Drosophila melanogaster: one gene and its partners. The protein of the gene in region 2 interacts with the protein of the main gene of each other region in a pairwise test. Each region holds a gene or a part of one and is shown on either strand. Other genes may lie near its edges.

Evidence for each region.
Region 1: the proteins of garz (region 2) and CG14194 interact in a two-hybrid assay, tested with the Drosophila melanogaster proteins (one large-scale study listed by BioGRID).
Region 3: the proteins of garz (region 2) and Golgin84 interact in a two-hybrid assay, tested with the Drosophila melanogaster proteins (one large-scale study listed by BioGRID).

Annotation. Positions count from the first base shown.
Region 1 is NC_004354.4:19,191,448-19,201,584, reverse strand, and holds CG14194 (uncharacterized protein), read right to left. Parts: upstream 8,031-10,137; 5' UTR 7,754-8,030; coding exon 7,716-7,753; intron 7,638-7,715; coding exon 7,567-7,637; intron 7,162-7,566; coding exon 6,587-7,161; intron 6,527-6,586; coding exon 6,134-6,526; 3' UTR 5,548-6,133; downstream 1-5,547. Other genes in the region: CG7990 (uncharacterized protein), read left to right, coding at 1-121, 2,121-2,312, 2,804-3,068, 3,136-3,354, 3,442-3,602; CG7914 (uncharacterized protein), read left to right, coding at 8,137-9,084.
Region 2 is NT_033778.4:12,321,617-12,331,753, forward strand, and holds the start of garz (gartenzwerg), read left to right. Parts: upstream 1-4,743; 5' UTR 4,744-5,057; coding exon 5,058-5,159; intron 5,160-5,222; coding exon 5,223-5,421; intron 5,422-5,476; coding exon 5,477-6,462; intron 6,463-6,523; coding exon 6,524-7,504; intron 7,505-7,574; coding exon 7,575-7,783; intron 7,784-7,847; coding exon 7,848-8,074; intron 8,075-8,133; coding exon 8,134-9,364; intron 9,365-9,421; coding exon 9,422-10,137. Other genes in the region: mIF3 (mitochondrial translation initiation factor 3), read left to right, coding at 1-34, 96-486; CG8841 (uncharacterized protein), read right to left, coding at 1,701-2,971, 3,042-4,284.
Region 3 is NT_033777.3:24,354,061-24,364,197, forward strand, and holds Golgin84 (Golgin-84), read right to left. Parts: upstream 3,879-10,137; 5' UTR 3,817-3,878; coding exon 2,481-3,816; intron 2,426-2,480; coding exon 2,211-2,425; 3' UTR 2,010-2,210; downstream 1-2,009. Other genes in the region: CG6454 (uncharacterized protein), read left to right, coding at 1-679, 733-820, 878-1,264, 1,321-1,593, 1,656-1,718; CG18528 (uncharacterized protein), read right to left, coding at 4,151-5,137, 5,194-5,499, 5,818-6,006; CG5762 (uncharacterized protein), read right to left, coding at 6,831-7,019, 7,078-7,491; CG33339 (uncharacterized protein), read left to right, coding at 7,787-8,181, 8,237-8,281, 8,340-8,411, 8,467-8,649, 8,698-8,814, 8,877-9,006; CG33340 (uncharacterized protein), read left to right, coding at 9,214-9,903; CG17784 (uncharacterized protein), read right to left, coding at 10,021-10,137. UniProt on the Drosophila melanogaster protein: May be involved in maintaining Golgi structure and in intra-Golgi transport.

The DNA of each region.
Region 1 (10,137 bases), on a different chromosome or scaffold from region 2:
GGCGACGTCATCCGCAGCAGATAGCGGGATGGGGGCGACGGACCTGGTGTCCAGGTGCGTTGGCGACGGCGGGGGAGGTGGCGGGAACAGCTGCTCCGGCGGATCCAGCGACCCAGCAGCGGTGAGAGGCGTTTTTCCATGGAGTTGCCCAATTTTGTTGCTTTCCACTTTTTCTTCTTGTTCTTTTTTTTTTTTAAGTGTTCGTGCGAACCAGTGTGTGTATTTATGGTTTGTTTGGCCTGGCCAAAAATTATATAACTTTAAGCGGAGGCAGCGCACGCTTAGTGACACCCCCAAACCCTCCTCCTCCTTATCATCCTCCACCATCACCCATTTCACCCCGCTGCTCAGCAAAAAGCGTTGTAAACGCGCACAACAACTGTGTGTGTCCGTGTGTACATGTGTGTGTGTGTGTGGGCGAACGTTTTATTTTCCATGCTCCTCCTCGGCTCGTTTGTTGTAATTTTCCGCAGTCAGCGCGCATGCCACCCCCCTGCTACCCCCTCCCACCATCCCACAACACTTTTCACACCGAAAATATTTTCAAATTAGTCCAGAAATCCAGAAATGCTAAAAGCCATTTTTGCAACAAAATAAAATGAAACCAAATTTAGCACACAGAATCAGTGGATTTAAAAACAATCACAAGTACATATTTTTACTCCACCAGTTATTCCGTAAGGCTAAGTAATCAAGCTAATAATATTCCTTTCGAAACCACAATTCTCTCTTTAAAGCCGAAAGAAAGCTTACCACTTACAGGAATAGAGGTGTTCCACAAATGGCTAACTTGCTGAAACTCAAAAGTTTATTGGATAACCAATAAGTACATATAATGCCATACAGAATAGAATTGATATTTGAGAATCCCTGTAAATGTATCGTAAACTGCATGAAATAACGGATGAATCTTTTTGAACTGCAAATACTTGATTTGTAAACCCAGCTAAGTTCTAGAAGTTTGGAAAATATTGAGCTAATGAAAAATATTCTCCGTGCATTTCTGCTACACGTTTTCGCATTTATTTAGTTTTTCTCGCTGGCTTGCCTAATTTTCGAAATGCGTGTATTTACACAGGCGGCGCTTGTTTGTTTGTTTCTCGTTTTAATCATTTATTCGATTTCGCCATGTCCTTGCGAACCACCCAACCACCCAACCACCCACCTTTGGCCCAGTTTCTTGGCGAGCTTCGAGCTGCTCGCTTCCGGTGTCCCGATTCAATCGCAGCACATATTTAATTTCATTTCTGACGCCCGGCCAATTTCCCATTAACTTGAGCTAATTAATTTTGGCCAGCTGCCGTTGGTAATAATGGTTACGTCAGGCGAGGCTCGTCTATTTTTGGTCCTTAATCCTTTGCTGCTTCGCAGCGCCAGAGAACGATAAAGAGAGGAAGAGCAAGAGAGAGAGTGAGAAAGGGGGAGAGAGTGTCCTTGCCACCCCCCCAGGCTATCATTCATATCCTGCCCCCGCCCCCTACTCCCCTTGTCTGCCCAAGAACTCAAGGACTTGTTTATTTATAACTCCGGCTCATCCAGTTCGGGATGCCAGGCGAACCGCATTCACTATTCAGCCGGATCGCATAGTTTCCGCCTTAATTCGCTGCGCCCCATCGTTCGTCTTTTGTTTATTGATTTATTCACACGCCTTCTGTTTGGTTTTCATTTCTATTTTTACCTTTATTTATTTTTTTTTTAGCGCTTTATCGTTGTTGTGCATTAACCAAAACGAAACACTCGACCACCAACTATGGCCAGGTAAGGGCTGCCATCCCATTCCATTCTCCACTCCTCCATTTAAGAGGCGAAACCACTGCGGTTCTGGGCTGGAACGATGCCACATAAGCAAACATTGTCCTGGGAAATATTTAATTTCAATGATAACTCGAAAAACCCTAATACTGATTACTACCTATACGTTAATAACTCAATGAGTGGATTTTAACTATCAATTTAATATTAATTAATTCATTTAATTGATAACGAAAAGCTATATGTTGCAAATACTCTCCATCACATGTTATTATGTGGCATTTCGCACATCCCAAGTATAGTGCGCAGTGGTTTTGCTTGAACTCCGCTCGATCCTAATGGCCTCCATTCCTTGCAACTCCTTGCAGATCAACACAACGATTAGCTCCAAGCAGGCGGATGCGAGGGAGCCGCAGGAGCAGCAGGTTGCCATCCACTACTTGGCTAGCTTCCATGAACTGTGCGTGGTGACCGCCCTGCTGCCGCTGGTGACGCTCTTCACGTGCTTCGTGACCGCCTACGTCTTCCAGTACGACGATGTCCACGAGACACATTGCCGCGTGAGTAAATGGGCACCGGGCGATCCAAGGGTATTCAGTGGCCAGGATGATGCTGATGAATGATGAATGTTTTGGGCAGGGCTCCGGCGCGTCGCCCGTGGCCAATAAATCACTGTCATCCCTGCGGGAATCCCGCCGAGATTGGAGACACGCAAATCCGCTTTTCCAAACGATTCGCTCACAATTGCTCCACGCATGGCGGTTTTTATTTTCACCAGCGGTCATTTATTTAATTTTAATTACAATAAATTTCACCAGTGAAATATATTCCTATTTGGGTATATATATAACTCAAATAGATTTATACATATCTGATTTTTTTATGTTATTAATATATATTTTGATTATTAGTGGCCATAATTCATTTTCCTTGCAAGTATAGAGAGCATTCACTTCAAGGGTAACCCGTCCGTCCATATTCAAGAGCATCTCCCACCATATCTTCAGTCTCCAGATTAATGTTATTAATTATGTATGGCATTCGTTACCAGGTCTACAACATTATACCCTCGATAAGTGCAATTACCGGCGTCAGTCCGCAGCGCTACTTCTGGCGCTTCAGCATCGCGCTCCACATCGGACCGCGAATCCCCATCGCCTTTGTCTACAAGAACTACTACCGCTCGCAGCTGCGTCGGATCAGTCCCGCCCAGGTGCCTCAGACGAGCCTGCTCATCACGCTGATCCTGGTGCTCAATTGCATCGAGATCGCGTCCCTGGGCGGCGTCACCTATATATCGAATCGCGAGAACTACCGTAGGTCCTGCCCAGCCCCCCAATCGTACATCTGATCCCTCTGATCCGTCTGCTCTCTCTCTTCCAGCCGTTCACGAGCGCATATTCATCACGTTCATGGTCTGCTCGCTGTGTTACATGCTGGCCACCATCAAGCTGAACGGCATCCTCAATGCCGGACAGGCACTGAGCGAAAAGCAGCTCCTCTCCATCAAGTGGAAGAAGATCCTGTTCGCCGTCTCCATCCTGAGCACCGTCGGCCTGCTGGTGTTCTTTGCCAAACATCGCTTCTACTGTCACGACTTGGGTGCGTTTCAAATCTCTTAGTTTCACATTTTCCACCCCGAAACAGATAATGAATCTCCCACATCTCTATTCCCACATCTCTTGACAGCATTCAGTTGGTTCGCGTTCTTCGAGTACTTGATCGCCATTGCCAACATGCTTTTCCACTTCACCATCATCTGGGACTTCCCATCGCAGTTCATGATGATCGTGCAGGGACCCCGCGAGAATCTTGCCCAGTATTTGAGCAACCGGCCGAAACTGGACTAGATTCGACCAGGACTAGATGCCCCCAGCACGCCACTCCTCCAGTGAACCGTGTGCGTGTAATTCCCGTGCGAAACGTACAATTAACGAACTTCTTCAACTTTAAAACTAAGCGCTTCCATACCGATCAACCATAGCAAATTTAGCCTTCTTCTAATTCTTCGATTCTCTTTACACTTACACTTATGTATCAATCTAAACCGAAAGCGAAACCAAACCAAAATCCAGAGATAAATGTTCCATAGTTCCATGATTAATATAGCTATTGAATTTAACAACAAGTATGTAAAGAATTTTGCCAGATTAGAGGGCATACCGTTCTATGTACACATTCTAAATACGTGAAATAAGTTACCTAGGGATTAAGTGCACCCAAAACCAAAACCAAACCAAATGGATCGCAGCTCGCCAGATCTCATGTCAATTTCGAATGGAATGCAAGGAGCCAAGCCAGGTGCGAGCAGTTTCATTTGTTAGGCAGTAAAGTAAAGTAAAATAAATAGAAGTCGCATTACTTACCACTTAGTACATATCGTTTATACAAGATGATAACGAGCAGCGGGAAATAGCCTCCTTGGGACAGGCCCTATTGGCCCCCAACCACAAAAGAAAAACAAACAAACATAAAAGGAACAAGGACACGATTCTAATAGACGGTAATCAGACAATAGACATTAAGTGTGCGACTTTGCTGCGGGCAACGAACCAGGACCTCCACAGATTCCATCCGAGCAGTGATGGCAAATGATATTTCCCGGATAGTTGATAGCTAGCTAACTCATGCCCATAGTTTCAGAATCCCTCACTGATCGTGGATCGGATTGAATAATCCGAATGGACGTGGAGGTGCGGCTTCTGGTGCTCACGGGGTCAGAAGGTCAGTGGTATAAGCAAATGTAGCCAAGTAAACAATTGTTCTTAGCCAACTTTAATAGTGAAATAAAAATCGAAAGACGGAGCAATCCGGTGAAAACTAGAGGCCCATCATAGGTAACCGAATTGCAAACCAGATTAGGATCAATATATTTTGCAGCAAAGGAGTTGCGTAGGTGTTTTTTTTTTGTTTTTTTTTCTTCTACACAAGAGTACTTAGTGTAAATCGAGAAGAGTTCAAATTGATATCGCTACTTGGCCAACTTTGTGCCATATGTACACAGCAGGTTCAGGCGGAAGGTTTTATTCGATAAGTAGTACGTGCTATTGCTAACCTTAATTATGATTGCGATTGTGCATTATATTTGCAGGAGATCGACGTCTTAGGTAATAACCCCGTATGTTCCCGAAAACGAGCAACGTATTTATGTAGCTAAGCCAATGAAACAATTGTTAATTCTCACACAAAAAACCAAATACAAACGGACACTCTATAAAAAAAAAATGTTATACAGATTAACAAATGCAAGCAAGCTCACGCCCACTCATGCGATATGTTATGCAATAGTTAAGTTGCCAGTTGCACCTCGCGATCGATCAGATATATATTGTATTTGAATTATTGTTAATGCTTACACGGCCTGCGTTTAGCCCACTTTAACTATATCTATACTAATGTATAACTCTGTCCCGCTCCATTTCGATTCCCCATTTCCGATTATGTGCCTCACTCTCTCTTTCCCACACCCCCAAGAATATGTACTTCCAGTCGCATCCGATCCGGTTGCAGACTATATTCATATATTCATATATATATATATATATGCGCTTTATATATACCGCTCACCGGCTAATCTTCAATTATTTTGTCCGGCAAATGGATGGTCACTTTTTAAAATGCAACTTTTTACCTTTGCATAACTTTTTAGGCGACACAACGTAAGAGAATTAATTAAAAATGAAATGCAAAACTTAACTATGAAATACATATGTAAACTTTGTAGCTTCCTAATTGAATAAAGATAAATACAACTCACACGAATTTCGAACCATTTCATCATCGTCTTTTCATTTTGATGGAAGCACTTAAGTATATTTCTCGTTTTCACGTACTCTGTTAATTATTTACACTTTATAGTAGGTCATTACACATAAGTGGGCTTCTCAAGGTGTGAGAGATGTTTTACATATAATACTAGCACACGAGTCAAAATTCCGAATGCGGCGCTGTTCAATTTGTGGTCAAGTTGGAGTCCGATTCGGGTCTGGACAAAAGCGTGTGGTGGTCAGGTCCTGTATGCATGTATGTGCTATATGTGCTATCATATGCAGGCGGATGCGTGGAAGGGAGCATGGTGGGTGCGATGTGCTTGGTTGGTTGGTTGGTTGGTTGGACATGGTTCGTGGGCGGTGTTAGCGTTTGTCTTACAATTAAAATTCAGTACAAGTCTAAAAGCTACGACGGAGACGTGAGTGTGTAAGTGGGTATGGGTATGCTTAACAATGCCTAACATAAACACCTGAACAAAGGTGTGCGGCGTCTCCTTGTGCGCGTGCAAAGAGGCTGTCCTTAAGTCTACGCGGTTCTTGCGATTTATTGTAAATGTTGCTGTTTTACTGTTGCTCCTGTACTGCTCCTGTGCTGTACTGGCCGTCTATATCTAGTCCGGCAGATCGATGCTGACGAACGGAACCACCGGCTTGAGAATGTCATTCTTGGCCCCCTTCTTGCTCTTCTTGTCGTGCTTGTGGAACTCGTGCAGCTGCTCGCTGGCCGCCATGCTCGTCGAGGAGGACGCTGCGTCCAGCGGCATGGACTGTGCAGCATTGCTGTGGGTTTCCGGGTGATAGCTGATGTTGCCGTACTCCTGCAGGAACGGCATCGCGGACAACAGGAACTGGCTGAAAGACTTGCGGATGCCGAACCACCACATGTTGCCGCCCTTTGCCGAGGAGCTAAGAACTATTAGCGCCAGAATAGAGACGAGCAGCGGTGAGAAGACCACGATGTACGGGAACTTAAGCTCGCCGTCCAGCTTGTCGCAGATGACCACCTGGCGGAATAGATGGGTTAGCGATGCACAATCTTTTGGAGGGACTAGATGAGGTCTCACCTGAAAGCAGAGCAGTGGGAGCACCGTGCAGATGTTGCCCACCGCTGCGTTTAATGCCGCCTTCTTCTGCTGCAGCGAGACCTCCGGCGTACGCATCATGATGCCACAGAAGATGATGTTATACAATACGCTGACCAGGCTCAGGCATATGACGATCCACATGGGCACAAACACTACGTCCCAGTTCCAGTAGACAAAGCGATCCAGCTTTAGCGGCAGTGAAACAAACTGAAGCGCGTTGACCGCCAGGAAGAGCTCCAGCTCGAAGGAGCGATCGTGCTTGACGGCCCAGACACAGGCGCCCACACTAACCACCGAGCCGAAGATCAGCGGAATGAAGACCAGCACCCACAAGTGACGGTCCGAGGTCAGCTTATCGCAGGCCAGCAGCTCAAACATCAGCAGGATCAGGTGCAGGGCCAGTGAGATGAGCATCGCTTTGAACTGCGTGTAGGCATCGCCCTCGAGACGATAATGCGGATACCGACACCACACAATGGCTCCTACGATTGCGCCCAGGATGGCGGTGCATTTCCATATCCATAGCGGTGTGAAAATCGCCCAGTAGGGCCAATCTGGGATAAGGCATTCGATTAGACTAGGCTACTAGGCCAATTATAAGGTTAATGCCCTACAATAAATCTTGTTCAGTAATTAAAAATCTAAATATTTAGCTTAGATAAGTTATTTAAAATAGCGAGAGAACTAATATCCTCGTTAAGTGACCAAATTTGGATGATCCTCTATGGTCAGACGATTTCTTCGATATTGCTATATCCAATCTCATGATCTGCTTGCTAACCCTTGTATACAATAAATCTGGACTATTCTCTAGAAGAAGCGATGGTGCACCGTACACATATTTGTGTATGGGTCGTATATGCTTGTATTGTTATATGATTGTATTTTCTTGCATCCCCGTGCTATTTTAATTCTGGGTGACGTTGTGTATTCCAGAACTGCCACAGAAAAGTACCCACCAATGTAGTTGTCGAGGCGCAAGGCGAAGAGCGTGACAAAGATGAACAGGCTGCAGTGGACGATGAACTTGCTGAAAGGGAACATGGTCGATTATGTTTTAGATTGGGAACCCATGTGATCCGGTCGTCCGCAGTCGGAGGCTTCTCACCAGGGATTGAAGTCGCGGAACAGAGATTCCAGATTCATGTTGCTGAGGACACCATAGAGCTATGTCACTGGACACTTGGTACCTGGACACTAGTTGCTCGTGGGCACCCGCCGCACCGCGTCCGCTCCACGAAGCGATCTTCGCCCGAACAAGGCTGTGTGTTATGATGGAGTGGGGGGGCGGGGGCAGTTAGTACTCTACGCCTGGCGCCGATCTTTCACCCCTTTCCCTGTAGATATTCTGTTCTTTGTTTTATTTACACACTTTTTTGACTGGCATTTCTGTCCCGAGATTCGATATCGATAACTCTTGCCTGCTCTGGCGATTGGCTTGACTAAGGACTAGCCAGATGTCTGGCTACAATTCGCCAGATTTCCGGCTACGCTAGCCTGCTATCGATAGCCTCGATAGGCACAGGAAAATGTTATCTTATTTGGAAGATTTGAAGGAAAACGAGGACCAGCTGCGGGATTCAGACTGCTGCGGCAATGGCTGCACCAACTGCATCCTCGACAACAAGCCACGGCCAAGCAAACGCGTCCTGCTGGCTGGCAAACGCAACGTGATCCTGAGCTACACGAAGTTCCGCCTGTTGCGGCGGGAAGCGCTGGGACCCAATGGACAGTTGCTGCTCCTGCACTTTGCTCATGCAGCAGAGGAGGGGGACGGCGATGGAGCGGTGGACACGGTGCTTGACATCCCGCCCGGCCACCATGTGATGCTGCGCGTCGGCTCCCTGCTGCGTCCGTATTCGCCCTATTGGAGCGACTTTGTGGCCAAAGAGTTCCGTATCCTGGTGAAGCTGCAGCCGGAGGGGCCAATGTCTCGGCACCTGCAAGCCGTACAGCCCGACGATCTGCTGGAATTCCGTGGTCCCATCGGGCAATACGTACACGAACCGCAGCCGGCCAAGTGCATCTATATTATCGCCCAGGGAGTTGCTATTGCACCCACTCTGCCGCTGGTTCGGCAGGTGCTGGACAACGAGGAGGATATGAGTCGCCTGTGGCATTTGGTGTGCGCTCACGACCTGCTGCATGTCTACTTCCGCGAGGAGATGCTCGAGTTCGCCCAGTTCTGGAACTACAGGAGCTGCCTCTACCTGCCGCATCAGCAGTGTGACTCCTCCGCTTGCCAGGAGGCGGGCCACTGTGCCCAGCAGTGCCCTCAGCTCCGGGACAATCTACGCTACAAGGAGACGGCAAAGGTGTCCCGATTAGATGCCACCGAACTGGCCACCCACCTCAATCCCGCGATTCCCGGACAGCGTGTCCTCATCGTGGCTGGAGATTCAAGTTTTCAAAAGAACATCGCCCAAATAGCAACACAATCATTGGACGTAGATCCGGCAAACATTTATATGTTGTAAATGCCGGGAAAAACTGTAGTTGCTTATAAATATTTGAATATTGTTAATGAATTTGTGATCGTACTGGTTATACCGAGGGTTTTATATTTTTTATACCCTAGATTCGTTGAAAAGTATGTAACAGACAGAAGATATACATATATTCTAGATCTGGATCAATAGCCGAGTTGTTCTGGCCATGTCCGTCTGTCCGTATGAACGTCGAGATCTTAGGTACTATAAATGCTAGAAGGCTATCACGCCCACTCTAACGCCCACAAACCGCACAAAACTGCCACGACCACACTTTTAATAAATGTGTTGATATTTTTTCACATTTTGATTAGTCTTCATTAATTTCTATCGACTTGCAAACAACGTTTTGCTACGTCCACTCGAACGCCCAAAACTGCCACGCCCACATTTTTGAAATATTTTTAAATTATTTTATAAGTCGTGTAAGTTTCTATCGATTTAAAAAAAACTTTGGCACGCCCACTCTAACGCCCTAAAACCGCCCAAACCTGCCGCGCCCACATTTTTGAAATTTTTTTTGGATATTTTTTAATAATTTTATTAGTCGTGTAAATTTCTATCGATTTACAATTTTTTTTTTGCCACACCCAGTCTAACGCCCTAAAGCGGCCATAACTGCCACGCCCACACTTTTGAACAATTTTTATTCCCCAATATCTATCGATATACCAGAAAAATTCAGAAATTTCGCGTTCGCATTCACACTAGCTGAGTAAAGGGTATCTGATAGTCGGGGAACTTGACTATAGCATTCTCTCTAGTTGGCATTTGAAACTTTTACATGTTTTCTATACTTCCAATTAAGCATTTGAGTGTACCGAAAATGGAATGTGTACTTCCATAAAGGAGGAGGAGTTCACTTCTTCATCATCAGTAATACAGGTAACTCCAACTACTTCTACTGTTTTGCCCACACTTGCTACTTTTAATTGGTTATAGGGCATCTATACTTATCGCTGCTAAATGAACATATGGTTTTGGCCATCCAGGTGGCTCTTCAATCCATTTCGCTGTCGGCAAATCATTTACTTTGTTAAA
Region 2 (10,137 bases):
AAACAGATGCTAAAACAGGAAGAGCCATGTTCAAGTGGGTATATATGGTTATCATCGGGGCCTGGTCATTGTTATGAAGTTGCTATACTTTGCAGACTAGTCACAGCTGCTGAAATGCTGTCGGATGATGCGGAGCAGTCGAGATCAGCGAGCGAAAAAGTTAAGGATAAGAAAACGGAGAAATCCCTTACCATTGGTGCGCGCATCACAGAGCACGATCTCTCCTCCAGACTCAAGAACATTGTGAAGTGGCTGGGCAAGCGACACGAGGTTCGCATCCTTATCCAGGGCAATGCCAGTGGATCGGACGAGAGCAGCGCCGAGCGCATAGTAAAGGCCATCGAACAGACCATTAAGGAACCACAACTAATTGGCAGAATAGTGCAAAGGCGCAGCAAGAGCGCGTTTATCAAATTCTCGATTATTCCAGTAGCTCCGCCACCAGTGCCCGCATCCACTGCCACTTCCAATACAATCCAGTCGTGACAACTACCGCTGCTGCCTTCGGTGCTCATGGATCGGCCCAATGTTGCGGCAAGCAAACAAAACTTCGGCCTTAGAATATCCACCCGCCATTTCTCGGAGCGGGTGGAAGAGGAAGGCGAAAAGCCCGTAGAGATCACAACCGCATCCATTGTCACCACTTCGGTGCTGCTTCTATTGTTTTTCTTCAAATACTTCTACTGGCATCAGCATTTGGTCAAACTATTGGAGGATCGAGAGCAAGCAGAACGACTGAAGAAGCGTAAAAGAAAGGATGAAGTCCTTTCTCTCCACCGTGAACGCAACCTACAAGAATGTAAAATCGATTGATATGAAACTGCTTTTTAGTAACTGTCATTTGGCTCTATATTTGGCCATTCTTATAAATTAAAATACAAGATTCAATTCGTTTTATGAAATTTATTTATTATTTATTACTTATCTTGGGTTCTGCTCTATATTTCGTAAATGATTTATATAAACTGACTTGTATAGGTGTCATAAGTTTAGTTTGTGTATATAGTTTATAAGCACACGTAGACAGTAAATTAATACACTTTCTCAATTCTATCATTAATGTCTATATTTAATTAAGTTTACAAAGCAGTTCATTGGACTCAACTAAAGTTTCCTAATCATTACAAGAGAACGTAAAGCTTTTTATGGTGTCAATAGGTGCAGTTACAAATTTGTTTGGATAAAGCGAATCGTTTGTAGAGTGGCTGAGTGAAAGTAATTTATTCTTGGTATTTGCACCTTAAATACATACATAAGTAAAAACAGGAAATTTTTAAATTATTAAAATATAAAATAAATAAAACCATGCAATAAAATATACGGCACAAGGAACATTTTCTGTCACAGATTACAAAAACATGAGTTGTTTAATAATTTAGTCATTAACTAAAATAAAAACACTTTGTGCTTATACTGTTTTTTAGAACACTCTTCAAAACAAATTAGGAAAGCAATTAAATATCAATGCTAAAAGCCGATAACAAATCTGTTGAATGGATCTCAATGCCACATCGTAACTGATAAGCCTCATTTTTTTTGTTGCCAATAAGCAAAATTGTGGGAAAGGTAGTTCATTACACACTGATTCTTCACAAAAACATTTGGAATGAAATATGTACTAAATAAATTAACTACAGTAAATGCCAAAGCGTGTAAGCTACGATTGCGCTGCTGGTGTAGCTGGGAGTCCACTTACTGACCTAGACGCGCTGAATCTCGAAGAGCTTGACCTCCGTATCGTACCAGATGGCAGGCTCCACGTTGCGCAGGTAGATGACACCCCAGATGTAGGTGCGGAACCATGCCGTTGTGCCCGCATTGGCCTGGTACTTTCGGATGAGAATGGGATGCGGCACTGGGAGCAGTCCCACTAACGTTCCGTGTTGCAGAAACTTGAGGATCTCCGACTCGTCGGTCAGTCCTTTGTCAATGCAGATCTTCTCCACCTGGGGCACTAGGACCTGAAGCAGTCGCATGATGGTCTGCAGCGGCAGCTTGGAGCGCCAGGAGACGATCCACTCGGGCGTGGGCGTCCAACGATCGCTCTCGCCAGGCACCATGCGAATGCTGGCCCTGTGGGCCACCGACAAGCGGGACAATTCCGTGGGTGAGGTGGACTTGCGTTCGTCAGTTGGCGTCGAAGCGGCTGATCTGTCGTAGGGCACAATGTCTGTAGAATCCTCCACCTGAGGCTTGTCATTTGGATGCGCCTGCTCCCGCTCCGTCATCTGAGTAATGCCCGGGGTGTCCAACAAGGACGTTTTCAGTGTTCCTGGCTCGGCTGGCTGCGCCGTGAGAACGTCCGACTGCAGCTCCCCCGCCTGAGATCGCTCATGAGACTCTGTCTCCGATTCGAGATCCTCTTCCGCCTTGGGCTCTTCATTAATTATCTCCTCCTCGTCCTCATCCTCGTCTTCTTCGTTGTACTCTTCTGGCACGTGGGCCGAGGGCAGTTCCTGGGACACAGCTGGCGTTCTTCGCTGTGGTACCCGCGGCAAGTTAAACTTTCCACCTGTTTTACGGCCACTCAGGCACTTGGCTATGCCAGCCATATCGGTCGGGAGATTTGCCATGGCATGGAACACATGACGCTTTCGAATTATGGTGTAGACTAGATTCGAGTTGCCATCGAACTGATACTGTATAATGTTATTGAAGATCTCCAGCAGGAAAAACACCAAATGATGATTGCTGGGTGCCGATAGCAGAAACCAGGGTGTGCTAAAAGCCTCCAGGAGATGCAACATCTTTACACTAGCCACCATCGAGAGGGTTTTCAGATATGGTGAGACATTTACCAGAATGGTCAGCAGACAATCGAAAAGCGGCTGCAGCCTCTGGTGGCCAGTGGCTATTATTTTGTGGAACACAGTGATGAGTAAGTCCGCATGGGTTCCAGTAAACACAGGTATATCCATGGGCACCGTGGCGGAGTATGCTTTGTTAAGCCGAACCCCAAAGTTTCGCTCACCTATCAATAAACATTTATTTAAGTGTAAGTGCACTGATTCCACGAACAAAACATATGACATATGACTCACCCGATAGGAGCAACAGTATGAATACTCCAATATGCATCAAGCCCACTCGAGATTGATCCGCTCGGGAGTAGTTTAGGTGATACAGAATGGGAATCAGGATGTCCAGAACATCGGAGCTCTTTAGCACAAAATACAGAAACTTTTTGTTGTAGTCGCATATTTTCCAAAACAAAATAAGCAGCTCCTGGTGGCAATGAAGTCGCTTTGTGGAATTGGGCAAATAGTTCTGGACCAGTGGGTTGTTCAGCAGCCTGGTTATGCCCTTGAGCACAAAGTGAAAGTCCTCGTCGCGGTGAACCCTCGAAAGATAGTTAATGAACAAGTTGTCGCCGCAATTGCCCTCGTCGTAGGACGCCTGTCCGGGTTGTGTGAGTTGCTGCTGCACCACCATATCGTGATCCAAGGTGACAATGAGCAGTTGAAGGCACGCTTCCACCAGGGGCTCTGTGGTGTCTGCAAACAGCAGGTGATTGTAGGGCACGCCGAAGCCCACCGGATCGTAGGAGCACACGGTGTTCAGAAACGAGGTGAACAGCGGCAGGGCATGGCGATTGTCGGCCGAGGTGAAATATGCTATCCACTTGTTGGGCTCCTCGGACTGCTGCGGCGATCGGTACATGGGCTCCGAGAAGCAGGTGAGTAATAGCTTCAGCAACTCCGTGCGCCTGCGCTCCATGTGGGCGTTGTGGGGCGGTGACTGGGCGAAACCCACGCCCGCTTCCCAAATGTACTCGCAGCTATCGATGTTCGCCAACTCCTCGGCCTTCTCGGGGCCCGCACGCCGCGTGGCCGTAACCGTGAAGTCGGGACAGAAAAGAAGGTCGCAGGTGGCATTGAGCAGTGACTGAGCCAACGGCATGGTCTTGTCCTGCGATGGCAGGCTGCTCCAGAAGAAGTCGCGCCACTTTTCGTCCTCGAAAATGTACGGCAGACACCGGACGAGCAGCCGCACGCAGTTCAAAACGCACTGCTGCTCCGCCTGCGTGCGACAACTGCTGTCTACCGCCTGGGCAAGCTTTTCCACCGCCTTGTAGCATAAGGTGGCCAGGTTGGCTGGATTCTCGTTCCGTATCTGGCGAATCTCGCTCGAGGTGACCAGCGCGAACACATCCTCCAGCGTCGTCTGGTGGCCCTGCCAGAACTGCTCCCAGAACTGCTCGTCGCTGGGGTCGATCTTCTGGTTCTTCTGCGTCAGCTGCACAATCGCCTTGCGAAAGTTCAACTTGGAGTCCGTGTTTCCCATATTGTTCGGCCTGTGGGCTGCTTTGGTATCGCTGAGTCCTGTAAATCCACCTGCCCCGTGCTCGATCGCCTCAGTGCAAGTGTGCGCAGTAGTCTGGAACAGGAATGCTTTGCATTTAATGCGATTCTTTTTCAAAAATCGAACGATTCCAATTAGAAATTCGCCTACGCACCAAATGCCAGTGTAACTTAGTGGTGGGTGTAACGCTCACGACTGAAGATGCGTGCGTGACTGATTATGCTCACCTGTTTTGGCCCTCATATTCAAATATCAATTTGATTAAATCAATTTGATCGACAGCTTGGCAACATATTTTATTTTAAAAACAAGGTTATATTTTTTTTATATACGCTTGCAGCTGTATTTCAATTTAATCTATTGAAATTTCCGCATCGAGTTGGCATCTACAGCTGTGCCAGTGCTGCGAAGCGACGAACTGCCGCGCCGGTGTTGGAAGACGCTTGTGCAAAATATTCGGACTGCACACAAGAACATAAACGACACGTAAACGTCACCAAAAATTAGCAGCTTACCAGTTCGATTAGTTAGGATTAGTGAGAGATGCCCAACTAGGCAGCACGCCCAGATTCGTCCAGGCAGCGTGAGTGTGCGAGTGGGCAAGTGGCGAGTGCCAAAACATATGCGAAGGTCGTCGGGAAGGGAGGAGGAGCTGCCCTGCCCCACGAAAACTGCAATTTTCAGCGCTAGCCCTGGAACTGGAAGCCAACTAGCTGCAGTCGTAGAGACACCGCAACGGAGGACACGCGGACACCATGGCGCTTCCAGGCAACGGCATCTACGTGGTGCGGGGCGAAATGGCCACCCTGATGACGGCGATGCGACGTGGAACGCGTTGGAATGCCACCGCCTACGTGGTAAATAGTGCCCCTAATGCTCACTGCGAATAGAAAGTATATGGCCCTTTTGCACATCCACAGGACGACGAGAATGACTCGCTGCTGAAGCTGTTCATTGACCTCAAGCATGAGCTAAATCGGATCGAGGACCTGCGTCAGATCGAGCCTCAGGTCTTCCTGGCTCCGTTTCTTGAGGTGATTCGCACGGCGGACGCCACGGGTCCGTTGACTAGTCTAGCCTTGGCCTCGGTTAACAAATTATTGTCTTACGGGCTAATAGGTATTATGATTTAGTGCTTACCCTCTGCATTTGCTCATTCTGTACCTATCCACAGATCCCACGTCTCCAAATCTGGCTGACATTGTGGAGCGCATTGCCGATGCTGTGACACATGCCCGCTTTATGGGCACCGATCAGTCCTCGGATGGTGTCACCTTTATGCGAGTGATTGAGGTGCTGCACACGCTTATCCGCAGTCCCGAAGGAGCCGCCGTCAGCAATGTGTCCATGTGCGAGGTGATGCTCAGCTGCTTCAAGATCTCCTTCGAGCCGAGGCTGAGTGAACTGCTTCGTCGCTCGGCGGAAAAATCGCTCAAGGACATGGTGCTGCTCTTCTTCATGCGCCTTCCCCAGTTCGCCGAAGAGCGAAGTGACACCATGCTCCAGAAGCGATTTACTATCGGCGATGCTGCCAGCGGAGCTACCCAAGAAAAACTAAAGCGTAAGACGGTTGCCCAAGCCCAGACAGCACCCAGGAAATCGTCAGCAGTGGAGGAACCGCCTCAAACACCGCAGTCTGCCAACCTGACGGTGCCAGGGCACTTGAAGGCACCCATATTGGCCACCACACCCGCCAGTCCAGCGGGAAACATATTGGACATGCAGGGCAAGATTACGCAGACACCAACAACAACGGCGAGCACGGGGGAAGATGAAACCACTGTCCCGGAGACTCCTGTTATTCAAGTGGAGTCGACTGAATCGGAGCCCTTGCTGGACGGCGAAACGGGTGAAGCAACCAGCACCCTGGCCGAGGCAAATAGTAGCGAGTACATCAACTCGGTGGGCGTCCGTTTTACACAGCAGTCCACCGATCACGATGTAACATCACTATCCCCTTATGGCCTGCCCTTCATCCAGGAGTTGTTCCGATTCCTCATAATCCTCTGCAATCCTCTGGATAAGCAGAACTCGGATAGCATGATGCACACGGGTCTTAGTCTACTTACTGTAGCTTTTGAAGTCGCAGCCGATAATATTGGAAAGTATGAGGGCTTGCTGGAGCTGGTTAAGGACGACTTATGCAGAAACTTAATATCGGTAAGGGACTCTTAATTGCTTCGTTAGTTATTTCTGACCTAACTCTTTCCTTTCCCTACAGCTTCTCAGCTCAGAGCGGCTTAGCATCTTTGCCGCCGATTTGCAGCTCTGTTTTTTGCTTTTCGAGTCTCTCCGCGGACATCTCAAGTTTCAGCTGGAAGCCTACCTTAGAAAATTGAGCGAGATTATTGCTAGCGATAATCCCAAGACGCCCTACGAAATGCGAGAACTCGCTCTGGACAATCTACTGCAGTTGTGGCGCATTCCCGGCTTCGTCACGGAATTGTATATCAACTACGATTGTGACTTGTACTGCACGGATATGTTTGAAAGTTTGACAAACCTACTGAGCAAGTATACGCTGTCAGCAACGAATGCAGTTTATAGCACCCACATTATCTCAATGGACACCCTGTTAAGTGTGATAGACAGTATCGAGCGAAATTGTGCCGCGAGCAAGAATAGCAGCAACAACAGAGAGTCCTTGCCAGAAGCTGCCCCAGCAACAGGTGGCAGCCGCCATTCTCGCCACAACAGCGGATTGGAGGGAATCGTAATTGATTCTGGCAATAGTGTAGCTGCAGAAGAGAAAGTGGAGAACATCGCAAGCTTTATAAATGCGAGCTCACATCGACTACGACTACAATCTGGCGGAGAGGGAGTGGGAATAACCAGTGAACAGCTGGCCAAGGTCAAACAGAAGAAGCGTCTGCTATCCCAAGGCACAGAGCGATTTAATCAGCGTCCAGAGAAAGGAATCCAGTATCTGCAAGAACACGGCATCCTAAATGCCGAGCTTGATCCCATGCAGGTGGCCCTGTTCCTTCGAGAAAATCCCGGGCTCGATAAAAAAATGATTGGCGAATATATCTCGAAAAAGAAAAACGTCGACTCTAAGATTCTAATTAATTTTGTGGACTCGTTTGATTTCACTGGTCTTCGAGTGGATCAAGCATTGCGTCTTTATCTGGAGACCTTCAGATTGCCCGGAGAGGCTCCATTGATCTTTTTGGTGCTGGAACACTTTTCTGATCATTGGCATGTGAGTATACACATCTACTAAAATACTTGCAGTCTCTGATATTAATCATGTATGTATCCCACCAATATAGAAACAAAACCAAGATCCGTTTGCCAACGTAGACGCTGCTTTTCGCTTGGCCTATGCCATCATCATGCTGAACATGGATCAGCACAACTCGAACGCGAAGCGTTTAAATGTTCCAATGACGCTCGAGGACTTCACTAAGAATTTGCGTGGTCTAAACGGTGGCGAAGATTTCGATCAAGAAATGCTGGCTCAAGTCTTTAATGCAATCAAGTAAGCTTTAGTACATATAGCGTCACTCTCATTTGCTTATATTTCCGATTATTAATTATTTAAGGAACGAAGAGATCGTTATGCCAGCAGAGCAAACGGGTCTGGTGCGTGAAAATTATCAATGGAAAGTACTGCTTCGACGAGGAGACACGCACGATGGACATTTTCACTATGTGCATGACGCATCATACGACGTGGAGATCTTCAATATTGTGTGGGGTGCTTCTCTGAGCGCCCTAAGCTTTATGTTTGATAAAAGCACTGAAACGGGCTACCAAAGAACTCTAGCAGGTACGTACATAAACATCTAATAATTACCATTCACATCTCACATTACGATTACATTTCAGGTTTCAGCAAATCCGCTGCCATATCGGCGCACTATAATCTGCATTCGGACTTCGATGCCCTCGTTTTAACTCTCTGCAAATTCACAACGCTGCTGAGCAGCGTAGAACAGCATGAGCCCGCTCCGGCGAACAATGAAACCCAGCAAGCTGTGAACTTTGGATTGAACGGAAAGGCTCAGGCTGCCATGCGAACGGTGTTTCTATTGGTTCACGACTACGGCGATTGCTTAAGAGAGAGCTGGAAACACATTTTGGACCTATATCTGCAGCTTTTCCGTCTAAAGTTGCTGCCAAAATCATTGATCGAAGTGGAAGACTTTTGTGAGGCGAACGGAAAGGCCATGTTAATCCTGGAAAAGCCCCGCGAGAAGCAGGAATCGGGACTATTTTCCAGCCTGTACTCATTTATCAGCTCGGAGGGTCAGCGAGAACCAACGTACGAGGAGCAGGACTTCATCAAACTGGGACGGAAGTGCATTAAGGAGTGCCAGCTGGATCAAATGCTGCAGGAATCAAAGTTTGTGCAACTAGAGTCGCTGCAGGAGTTGCTTAAATGCGTTCTAGCGCTACTGAAGGCTCCTCAGGGGCACAAATCCATTGGCCTGCCGTACGCCGAAGATCAAACTGTTTTCTGGATGGAATTTTTGGTCAAGATAGTTGTTCATAACCGGGATCGCATGATACCGCTGTGGCCAGCAGTTCGAGACCAAATGTACCTACTGCTTATGGGCAGTGCCTCCTGTGGATACGACTACCTACTCAACCGATGCATTGTAGCGGTCCTAAAACTAGCTATCTATCTGATGCGAAACGAAGAACTGTGTCCGATCGTATTGCAATCGCTCAAGATGCTTTTAATGCTTAAGCCAGCCTTGTTGCTGCGCATTTCTAAACAGATTTCCATTGGTATCTATGAGCTGCTCAAGACGTCGGCCCAAAATATTCATTCCGAGCAGGACTGGCAGATTATTTTCAATCTACTTGAATGCGTGGGAGCCGGTGCTGTGCCGCCCAATTATGATGATGCCCAGCTGCCATTGCCGCCCAACGGAAGTGCAAAGTCTGATGGCGCTATAAGTGGCGAAGAGGACGCAACTGCCGTGCCAGAGCGTGGTTACACTTCGGATTCGGAGATCACGAAAGCATCTGCAGCACCTGCAGTCTCCAGTCCAAGTGCTGAGAACTGGATTCTGGTCAATAACAAGGACAGTGAATTGACTACGGCCTCTAGGTGAGATTCTTCACTCATTAACCTTTCATATCTAATACAACAAAGTTGCTTTTGCAGACCACAATCTCCGCCTAGCCTGAGTGCTCCTCCAGTAAATACGCTTGTGTACAATTGCCAGCTACTAGACCACGCTCCGTTTGCTCTTTTCAAGTGCTGGGATTCGCTGGCGTTTATCGTGCGCAGTGTGGCACACATCACGCCTTACAATTTTGAAGCCTGCGTTCGCTGCATCCGCATCTTTGTGGAGGCTTGTCGGGATGGAGGTATACGCCAGCGGCGAAAGCTGGAATCGGCGGCTAAGCAGAAAAGTTCCAAGAAGCGCAGCGAACGCAAACCGGGCATGGCTTCCTCCGCCTCGAGTAGTAATCTTACTCTTCTGACGGGCGACCCGTCCGACAACCAGATAAACGGAAATGCGGCAGAGCAGGAGGACCTGGCCCAGCGCTACGAACAGTTGTCCATTCAACTGCTGGACCTGATGTATACGTTGTACACGCGAACTGCCCAAATCTTCCGATGGTGGGCGGAAGAAGGATGCACAGTGCCGCAGTCGGCAGCTTTGTGGTCACCGGGCTGGTGTCCATTGCTTCAGGGAATCGCCAGGCTGGCAATGGATCGACGGCGAGAGGTGCGCACCCATGCCATATCGTGCCTGCAGCAGCGGGCATTGCTAGTCCATGACCTGCAAACGTTGTCGGGAACGGAGTGGTGCTCTTGCTTCCACCAGGTGCTGTTCCCCCTCCTAAACGAACTGCTGCCCGAGAGTAATGCAG
Region 3 (10,137 bases), on a different chromosome or scaffold from region 2:
AAAGAGATCTGCGTGCGGAGCTGAACGCCAAAGAGATATCGGATGGTCTGCCCTTCCTGGAGTACGAACTTCATCGAGTGCTGATCAACAAGCTGAAGGCCAAGGGCATGAATGCCATTTTTGGGCTACGCACGCAAGTTGCCATCGGCGAGCGTATGATAGCGCTGATAGCCACGGGAACGGCTCTATTTCTCACAGCTTTACCGGTGCCGCAGGTACCAAAGATCGTGGCAGGCAACTCGTGGACCGACAAGCAAAAGCTAAATGAGTTGCAGAAGAAATTACAAGAAACGTTTGAACGGAACCAGGAGATCTATCAGCTGAAAAGCTTGGACCCGGATTTGGCAGCCAATGTCGGAGGAGTACCTTCCACAGGAGCCTCTGGCGATAAACAATCAGATACAGACGACTCTGATGAAGAGGAGATGAACGAGATCGATCTGAACTGTGGCAACAAGGAGTTGTGTGTCCTGGAAGTGGACGATATCGAAGACTTGGAAATCATATCGCTGTTAATGGAGCCATATCCGCCGGAGGGCTTCCATGTGGTAAATACGCAGCAGGTGCCGGGCATGCTGGAAATGGATACGGTTAAGAATCTGCAGATGTTCACACAAGTGTGGCGCGCCCGACTCGAGGTGGGCCAAAGTGTAAACGGCTTCCCTAAACACTTTCAGAGGTAGGTCTAAACTTCATACTGGGATCAGCACATAAAAACATTTGCCTTCCCAGACTGTTGCAGACCATATACTTCAAGCTACGCACTATGATACCCTGTGCTATCTGCGATCTTCGCTTCCGACTAGATCTGCCAGAGACGGTAAGGAAAATGCTAGGACTTTGATCAAGAATGATTAAATTACTTCGTTCTCTGCAGGATCAAATTCAATTGCTAGTCACTGGCATGGCCATGGGCCTAAGCGATGCCAACAGAATGAAGTACCGCGGACGTGGACGCCCGGCTCAGCAGCAGCAGGCACCTCAACAGCAGAACGGATATCATGATGGCACGGTGCACGCCACTCAATCTCAGCCAGAGTTAAACGGAAAACGAATGCTGCAAGAGGAGGATTACATATTTCCGCTGGACGAGGATCAGATGGTGGACACACCCACGCCAACCAGCACCGCTATTCCGCCATTCGGAATGAGCTCATTCAAAATGCGAAAAACTTCACCATCACGTCTTAACAATCTCGTTTCGGGATTGCCTTCAACCGGAGTTAAGCCATTGAACGTTGGATCTGTTCAACGTAGCCGTTATGTAAGAACATTAAATATTAATGATGTCTTTATATTAATATTATATTTCCTTGACAGTTTCCGCTGCGAGATCGTTATGGAGTGGATGTGACGCCACTAAGTTTCATACCTGGTGGTCGTATAGATAAATATTTGGGCAACCTAAACTTTTTCTTTATTCGGGAGAGCACGTCGATCCGGGAAAATGGTGGCATCAGCGGATTTGTCCATGGCTTCATTACCGAACTGTTGGCTGTGGTGAGAGCACACATCGCTTCGCTGGGCGGAAATGCCATGGTCTCTTTTTACATCACCGAACTTATGTTGTTCGATAATCAGCACAAGAATCAGGTAAGGCAAACACAATGATCTACTTACCTTAAAGTTTTTATACTGAAATCTTGTATTCTTAGGGCCAGTGCCTGATTAGCATCGGAGGCGATGCTGTCTATGTGAGCTACCATGCCGATGACTGATATAAAAACTTGCGGGGCATATAGCGCATGTTTTACGCGAATCGTCCCAAAAGCGTATACTCTCTATTTTCTTCCGCTTAGCTAGAACTATCAGCTCTGCCCAGCAACTGGAGTTAAACTGAAGTTAAACTAATTCACGTTTACTTAACAATTTTACAGCATCTGTAGATGGATTCTTTATGCAATATTTGAACTGTGAGGAATCGTTCTAATCCTAACTTAGTAGTGCTAATTTTTTCGGTCTTGTTACTTGTTTGCTGGATGTTTTTAGCGTTAAATCAATTGCAATTTCTGTACATAGTTGATGTTTATTGAATATTGAATTTAGAACGAGTGCGAGACACAAGTATAATATCGATATATACAATTGTTGCAACCACAAACATGACACATATACTCGTACCACTAGATATCCAATTTTGGCGCGTAAAATACAATACATACAATATTATGGAAATACAACAATTGCTCAACTAAATGTATTTGATTCGATTAGTTTGGTGTAGTGGAGAGCAGCACAAACATGACCCACAGATGTAGTAGGGCCACGTAGACGATCACAGAGACCCGCATCATGGGATAGCGACGCAGAAACGTTCCCACCCGAATACCCATGGAGTCCGCCTGGCGAAGGGCTCGCTTGAAGCGTCGTGCCACACGATTATCGAATGGACTTGGATGCATGAGAAGCGGGAATTGTGCTTTGACTAGGTAGAACTCATATTTATGTAATTTCTGGTACTCGCAGAATGTTAGACTTACCATCATCTGTGCTGTTGAGCATAGTATGGCGGGAGCTGCCCCTTTGGCTCTCCATTTCCACCAAGTGCATGTTTTGCTGTAGCTGCGTCTGTGCCTTTTCGTGCTGTAGTCGCAGGGCATTTCTCTCACTCGTAACTCTTTCCAGAAGACTTTGACGTTCGACCAGTGATTGGGTTAAAGCCTTTAGCCGAGTCTCGTAATCGCTCTTGGCTCCCGTGTTGGCTTCCTCGCTCAATCGCTGACGCATCTGCTGAAGCTGCTGCTCCCGCTCCTGGAGTCGAGTGGCGGCAGCAGCCATTTGGTTACTAAGTTGCTGCCGCAGTGAGGCCAGTTCCTGCGTGAGCACTCGCTGATCGGATTCGGAGGTCACACTGTGTTCCCTTGCCTGTCGCAACTCCTTTGCTAGTGTTTCCTCGCGTTGGCGGGCAGAGCTTAGTTCCACCTGTCGTTGTCTTTCCTGGGAAACGTAATCGTCCAGCTGCAAGCGCGCCTTTTGCAGTTCCTCGTTGGCATGCTCTAGTTCTTGCTTAAGTGACTCGTGTTCAATTTGCAGAAAACGCGTTTCACTGTCCTTGGACACCAGGTTTGGATCTGCGCCCTCCTCCGTGGGCTTCGCCTTCAACTCTGCGATGAGGGAATCCTTTGCTTGCAGAGCTCGCTGAGCCTTGATACGGTATTCCTGAAGCTCCTGGCGCTGCTGCTCCGTTTCCTTTGTTTGCATTTGCAATTTGTGAGCGGCGCTTATGTATTCCTGCTGCAACTTGGCCAGATTGGTTTCCAGTTCGGAGATGGAGTGCACATACGCCATGTTAGCTGCCTGGGCCTCATTGTAGTCATGAACCGCCTTGTCCCGCTCTTCGGACAGACTTTTAACCAGAGCTTCCAGCACCTGGGTGTGTTGATGCAGATCAAACTTTTCGGTTTCGTTATTAAGATCTTCCAAGCGCAGACGCAGTTCATCTCTTTCGGCCGTGATTTCATTCAGGGCGATCTTGAAGGCAGCCAATTCATTTGTGTCCATTGAGTTGGCGGATATGTCGGGACTGTTGGAGAAACTGGCCGACGTGGTCATCTTTTGGCGCATGTCCTTAGTGACCACGGAGACCCCGCCATCGCTTTTTACACTTGATGAGCTATTGGCCCCCGAGCGCCGCACTGGCGACAGAGTGGACTTCAGGGATGTGGACAGTGATTGGGTGCTGCTCGTCATGCTCCTACGCATGGGATCCGCTGAACCTGTGGCGTTCTCTGTCTGCAGGGCCGTTGCCGCATTTTGGTCCAGCTTGTTCAAAATGTTTTCGGCCTTGTCCGCCAGTCCTGTGATCCAGGATGACATATTTTTCTAAGAAAAACAAATCTCTTCGAGTAAAACACGTAAACAATATCACACTGTGTGCCCATATCGCTATCGACTGCGGAATGGTCAACTCCAAAGTTAAGGTCACTCTAAAAGTAACGTAATTTTGAAAAACCTTTTTTCTGATCAAAAAAATATTTATATGAAAATGTAAGGATTGGTTTTAGAAATAAATGTAATTCCAATCTTTCTTATCCGTGCAGAAATGTTAATTTATTATGCTTATCAAAACTCTAGGGTACAAATGAATATTTTATTCAATACTCAACATGGGCAGTGTAATCTTCGCAACTCACAACTATAAACTATCTCTTCACTTTCCAATGCAAAAGTCCTTGAAGACCACGTCGAGTATATCTTCGCAGCTGATGTGTCCGGTGATGCGTTCGATGCAGCGCACGGAGTTGCGCAGCTTGGAGGCGGCTATGGCCATGTCCGGGTAAACGTCGGGTCTGTAATCTCGTAGAAAAATATCAATGTTCTCAATGCAGCGCTCCAGTTGCTGACGGTAGCGTGTGTTTGTGATGCGTGGATTCTCCGCCCGCGGTTCTCCGCACAGTTCTTGCAGCTGCTTCTCCAGTGATCCCAGAAACACGGGCATCTTATCGGGCTTATGGCATGATATGGCTAACACGTTGGACAGCTTGTCCAGCTGCTGATGCTCCTCATCCGTCAAAGTGTCGGTTTTATTGGCCACCAATTGCAGACGTTTCCCTGAGCACATGTCCAGAGGTATATCCAACTCGCCCAGATAGCTATCTACAAACGGAGCAACTGCGTCGTCGTGCGTCAGCTGTGCAATGTTCTTGGCTTCTGCTAGGAGCAATATCAAATCAGATTGGACTAGACAATTCTTGGCTCTCTGCATTCCCTCCTGCTCTATACTATCCGTAGTATATCGGCGTAATCCGGCTGTGTCGGAAAATACCACCGGGTATCCTCCGAAATTGTGCATTGTTTCTATAATATCCCTTGTGGTGCCCGCCTGATCCGTCACTATGGACACGGATCGCTGGCAGAGGAGATTGAGCAGACTACTCTTGCCAACATTGGGTGCTCCAATGATCACAGTGCGGACTCCGTCGCGGAGGAGCTCTCCCTGCCGCTGGTCACTCAAATGCTCGCGAATCTCACGCTTTACCGCCTTTAGTTCTTTGCCGAGTTGCAGGATGATGCCGCCTTCGATTTGCTCCTCTTCGGCGAAGTCTATGTAGGCCTCCAAATGGGCAGCACAGCGAATAAGTCGACGGCGCCAGTTGTCGTAGAGTCGAGCCAGTGCTCCAGTGCTTTGTAGCAGTGCCTGGAGAAAGAAGAGACTTGAAACAAAATTTATGAGACCCTAAGTCCACTGTCTACCTGCTTTCTTTGCGCCTCCGTTTCAGCATGGATAAGATCGGCCAATCCCTCCACCTCTGTCAAATCCAGTTTGCCACCAAAGAACGCTCTCTTTGTGAACTCTCCCGGCTCCGCCGGCCGCAATCCATCCACTTTTCCCAGAGCATCCAACATGGCCGCAATGACTGCCAGGGACCCGTGTACCTGAAACTCGCAGGAATCCTCGCCAGTGAAAGAAGCCGGTCCCGGAAACCAAAGTAAGAGCCCACGGTCAATCATCTCTTTGCTGGCGGGATGGTAGAAGGATTTCAGATACGCCTGACGAGCCTATATGGAAAAGTATTTATAAAGGGAACTATAAGTTTCACTATCATAGAGGTCTCTCGTCTTAAAACCTGGCAGCTTGCCAATTATAACAAATTAAGCAGTTCACGAAATTATTCAATTTATTTAGTCAATTATATGTAAGTTAGGAGAAATTTGTTTATTTTTATACAGGATACATCTCCCAAAATGTATATAAATAAGCAACAGGTCTTTTCATTTGCATACATATATTTTGGATACTAGAAAACAAAACTATACACTGCACAGGTCACGACCCCTCATATATGGAATAATAAACGTTTATATCGATTGACTTGCCTTTGGCTCGTATTCTTTGTTTGCAACAATTGCTCGGAGGGCCTTCTTTGTTTGCGGCCCGGAGACACGGATCACGGACACACCGCACTTGACATGACCGGAACTGAGGCTGTAGATGGTGCATCCGCTGCTGGCAAAGCGCCGGAAACTGCCCAAGAAGCTCTGGGACGCGTTTCTGAGAAGCGCCATCGCCGAAAAACAATTAAATCCCAACCGCCGAATAATAAACAATTGAACGTGATATTAAGTGTGACCGCGGAATGGCCGTTACAAAAATATATCATTCCACTCGGAGATATATACTAAAGAATTGTGCGTAAACAATTATGGAGCGGTGGTAAGCTTGGGTAAATCTCCAGTCCCGACACAAACCATTTTGACCGAAATATGGGATTTGAAACATGGGAACGTTTTTTATTTATTTCTTTGTTATTTGGATAGAAAGAATTCACTTTTATTCAATTAGACAGAAGTAGTTTTTGTAATTTTTTGTCAAATAATTATCAGATTTTTTGTCAAAAGCGTTGGAAAATATCGAATGACATATCTCGATGAACTTGTAATTAAGCCCTTAATTGGTTGGAGTTCAAATTTGGTAATTTTATTTTTTTGACGTTTTTTGAAAAAAATAGACGTTGTTACCCCTTATAAAAAATGTGAAAATAGAAAAAAAAAAATTTTTTTTTTTATTTCACCAAAAGTTGATAAAAATAATAAGCATTGGTAAAAAGCTGTAAGAAATAGTTCTTATTAAGTCTCTGAGACCAATTTTAGCCAAGCTGTGATGAACTTCTCAAATTCCCTCTCCGCTTTTGACGAAGACAAATACACTTAAATATTTTATTAGTAACAAATATCACATCTAGTGCAGATGTGTTACATTTTTACAGTTACATTTTCGGATTTGGACGCTTTAAAATCTGATGCCTTCGACACTATCAATTTGATCAGGCTACAAGAATGAGCGATTGCTAGAATTTCTGATGCGAATACAACTGTCAAATATAAACGGTTTAGAATAAGAACTGACGTTTTCGGGTGCTGTAGGCGTTTGACAACCGGAGAGATACAATGGGTGGTGGACAGCTATCGGTGGCACGAGCAAATTTGTTGCGTTGGATCATCGCCGCATTGGTGTCCCATTGGTTGATAAAGGCACGGGCCTCGTCGTCACATGGCTTTGCCGTACTCGGTCTTTCTTCCTGCAAAAAAGATTATTTCAAATTGATTTTTGTTTGAAATATTCCAAAAAATAGGCACCTGGGCTCGGCGGCGTCGAGGAGCCTCAGTTTCCATCGACTCCAGAAAGTCCCGTCTACGATTTCGTTTGGTCGCCACACTGTCCGGGAAATTAACCCAGGTGCACTCGTACTTGCGCTTCTCCAGTTCGCGCGGATGGTACTGCTCGTTATCGAAGCGTTCCTGATCGTCCCCGACCGAGATGCGTCCGTGGCCCTCGTCCTGCTCCCACATGGAGCGTCGCTTGTTCTTCTTGTACACATCCGCTTTCTCCCGCTCCCTGAGTATCTGATCGTCTGGCAGGTATTGGCTGCCCACTCTGGGCCGCTGGGAACGCCTGGCAATGTGACGCGTTGAGGCGCATTCGATCCGCGCACGGAGGAGCTCGATGCAACGGTTCACCATCATCCGAGTGCCACCGTGGATGTTAACCATTCTCGGAAGATATTTTTTTTTTTTTTACAGTTTTAGAAATTTTATTAAAAGAATTAGGGAATTGTGTAAGTTTTAGTATTGGAATGCCAAAATGTAGCCTGCTTCCAAAGAGGCGGCGTGTAACGAACTGAATCCGCTCCCAACAAATCGAGGTGACATGTAAGGTGCGTACGAATCAAGGCACACCTGATGCTGTAAGTCGGCTCACCTTTCTTAATTAGCACTGTTCACCTGGCGTTAATTTTCCACGACTAGTATCTGTCACACAGATCAGTTGAGTTCTCAGAGTGGCGGCATGAGGTCTACGATTTTGGTACTTCTGTTGATCGGAGCCATTAGGGCGGCTATTGGGAATCAAACCCATCTGGTGGGCTCCTCTTTGGAGAATCGCATTCTATCGCGACGGGTGCGTGCTTTGGTTTTTCCCGACAAGGCATCCCTTCTCCTGACCGCCGCCCTAACCAAACTAATTTTGGGCGGACGACCAAGTGGCCTTCAGTACAGCTTGGAGTTTGATATGTACGTTCCGGTTCCCGACACCATTGAGGGTTGGCAGCCCAAGATCCTAAAGAAGATGAAGCCAAAGCCAATGTCAACGCCAAAACGCCGGTATGATTGGTCATATAGCAAAAGACCTGAAAGCTATTATCCATACTATGCGGATCCATATAGAAATGCTCATTACGAAAGGTAAAGTATATATATTTAACCGTTAAAGAAATAAATTCGAAATTTTAAGTTTTAGTCCTGCTAACAATCATAGAGTTCCATTCTACCAAGCAACATCGAGGTAAATTATTATGAATTACTTTCAAGAGGTAATAATTACAAGTTCAATGTCCTACTAGGGATTCATTTCCCCAAGCTTCATGGCATTCATCCTCGCCCACTAATCGCAGGAAAGAGTTTTATACATCGAGGTAATATAAGATTAATCATTTTGAAATACCCTAAAGTGGCTTTAAAATATTTCAGACCCTCATTGAATAGGGCCTCATTCTATCATAGCCCATGGAGCTTGTCTGCAAATCAGAGAAACTCATATCCACCGGAGGAAGAAGTTTATGAATCCTGGGATCAAGTGCCTAGTTGGAAGTTACATCGTGGATACAGAGAACGCAGAGAGATTTTCGATCAACTCGAGGCCATGGGAAAAGTGTAAGTCTTAAGTGATCCACAGAATAATTTAAAAGAACCTATTAATAGTTTTCAGTTGGACCTAAGGTCTTGTATCAAGAGAGCCATGTGTGAACTAAGGGCCAAGTTAAATGCAGGTCAAGATCAGGGATTCCTCATGGAGGATCTAATGCGAATTGTGCTGACGTAAGTAAAATAATTCATTGTCATATATAATGCCATTAAAACCATAATAAACTATACTTCAGAGTTCCCGAAGAGGTGGCCGATGATAAGTACAGGCATCGCATGGATAACCAGGACTGTGCCCGATTCTACGCCCCAAGTTGTCCCTACAATGTTCTAGACTTCCTTACCCAAAGTGGTGCAAAATTGTAAACATAGTGAGCCGAGAATCGAACTTCCGCCCCAAGTCGTTGTACTGTGATTTCGGATAACCCAGAGTCATCAGTTCTCATTCCGTTCTCGAGCTGGATAGGTCTCTAGCCTCCCAGTTTCGTGTTCGCAAAATTCCATCTAAATTTCCGGCCCAAACCTTTTGGAAAATATATTTCGGTTAAAAATTCAAAATTCCAGAGCTCAAAAATGGCACTGAGTGTTAATCCCTCCCGAGTACTGTTCCGTCCAATTTTTGGTGCGGTTAACAGCTGTGTGCGATTTGCATCCGGTTGTGAAAAGAAGGGGCCGAGCCGGTGCCCGAAGGTGTTGACCAAGTTCCCCTGCGGCAAACCCAATCTGCAGGCTCCGCCCAAGAAGAAGAGGAAGATGGTCAAGGCACAGTCCATGTGGCTGAACCCATTCTGTGATCCCGACGACACCGCCTGTCCGTTCAATCCGCGCTTCGACGATATCTACTACGTCGAGTCGGACAAGGCCAAGCGGAAGTACTGGCAGACATGGGTGGCCTGCCCTCCCATCCAGATTAAGCCCAAGAAGATTTGCTGTTTCGCCAAGGCTAAGCCGGCTCCTATCAAGCGGCGAAAGCCATCGGCGAAGCCATCGACCGCCTGCCCGCAGCCTTGTCCGGATCCGTCGGAGGATCTGTGTCCCCGTCTGGCCCGTCGCTGCCATCGCGATGGTCGCCGACCACCCTCATGCAGAAGGGAACGAGGACCCCTGCCGTGTGTGAAGCCCCGGACGCCATATCCATCTTTCTCCGAGTGCCGACGTCTCAAGCCCGATGCCCCGCCACTGAAGGAGTGCAATTGTCTGGCGAAACCGCTGCTCTGTGAGATTTGGGCCGAGTTCCGACGACGAGCCATTGCCAAGAAGTAGAGCCGTGGCCCTGATTATATAAAGCGCTTTTACGATTCTACAGCATATACATTTTTTATTTGTATGAGGAGATTAAAATGTTTGCCCTGAGTGCCAGCACGGATGCAGGATGTGTGATCACTGAAACGGATTCTTGGCCATATTTGTCACGAGGCTCCAGAGCAGCGGATTGCAGTCACTATAGGTTCGCTCGCAGTCGGCACCTCCACGTCCTGCGTCACGGGCATGTAAATA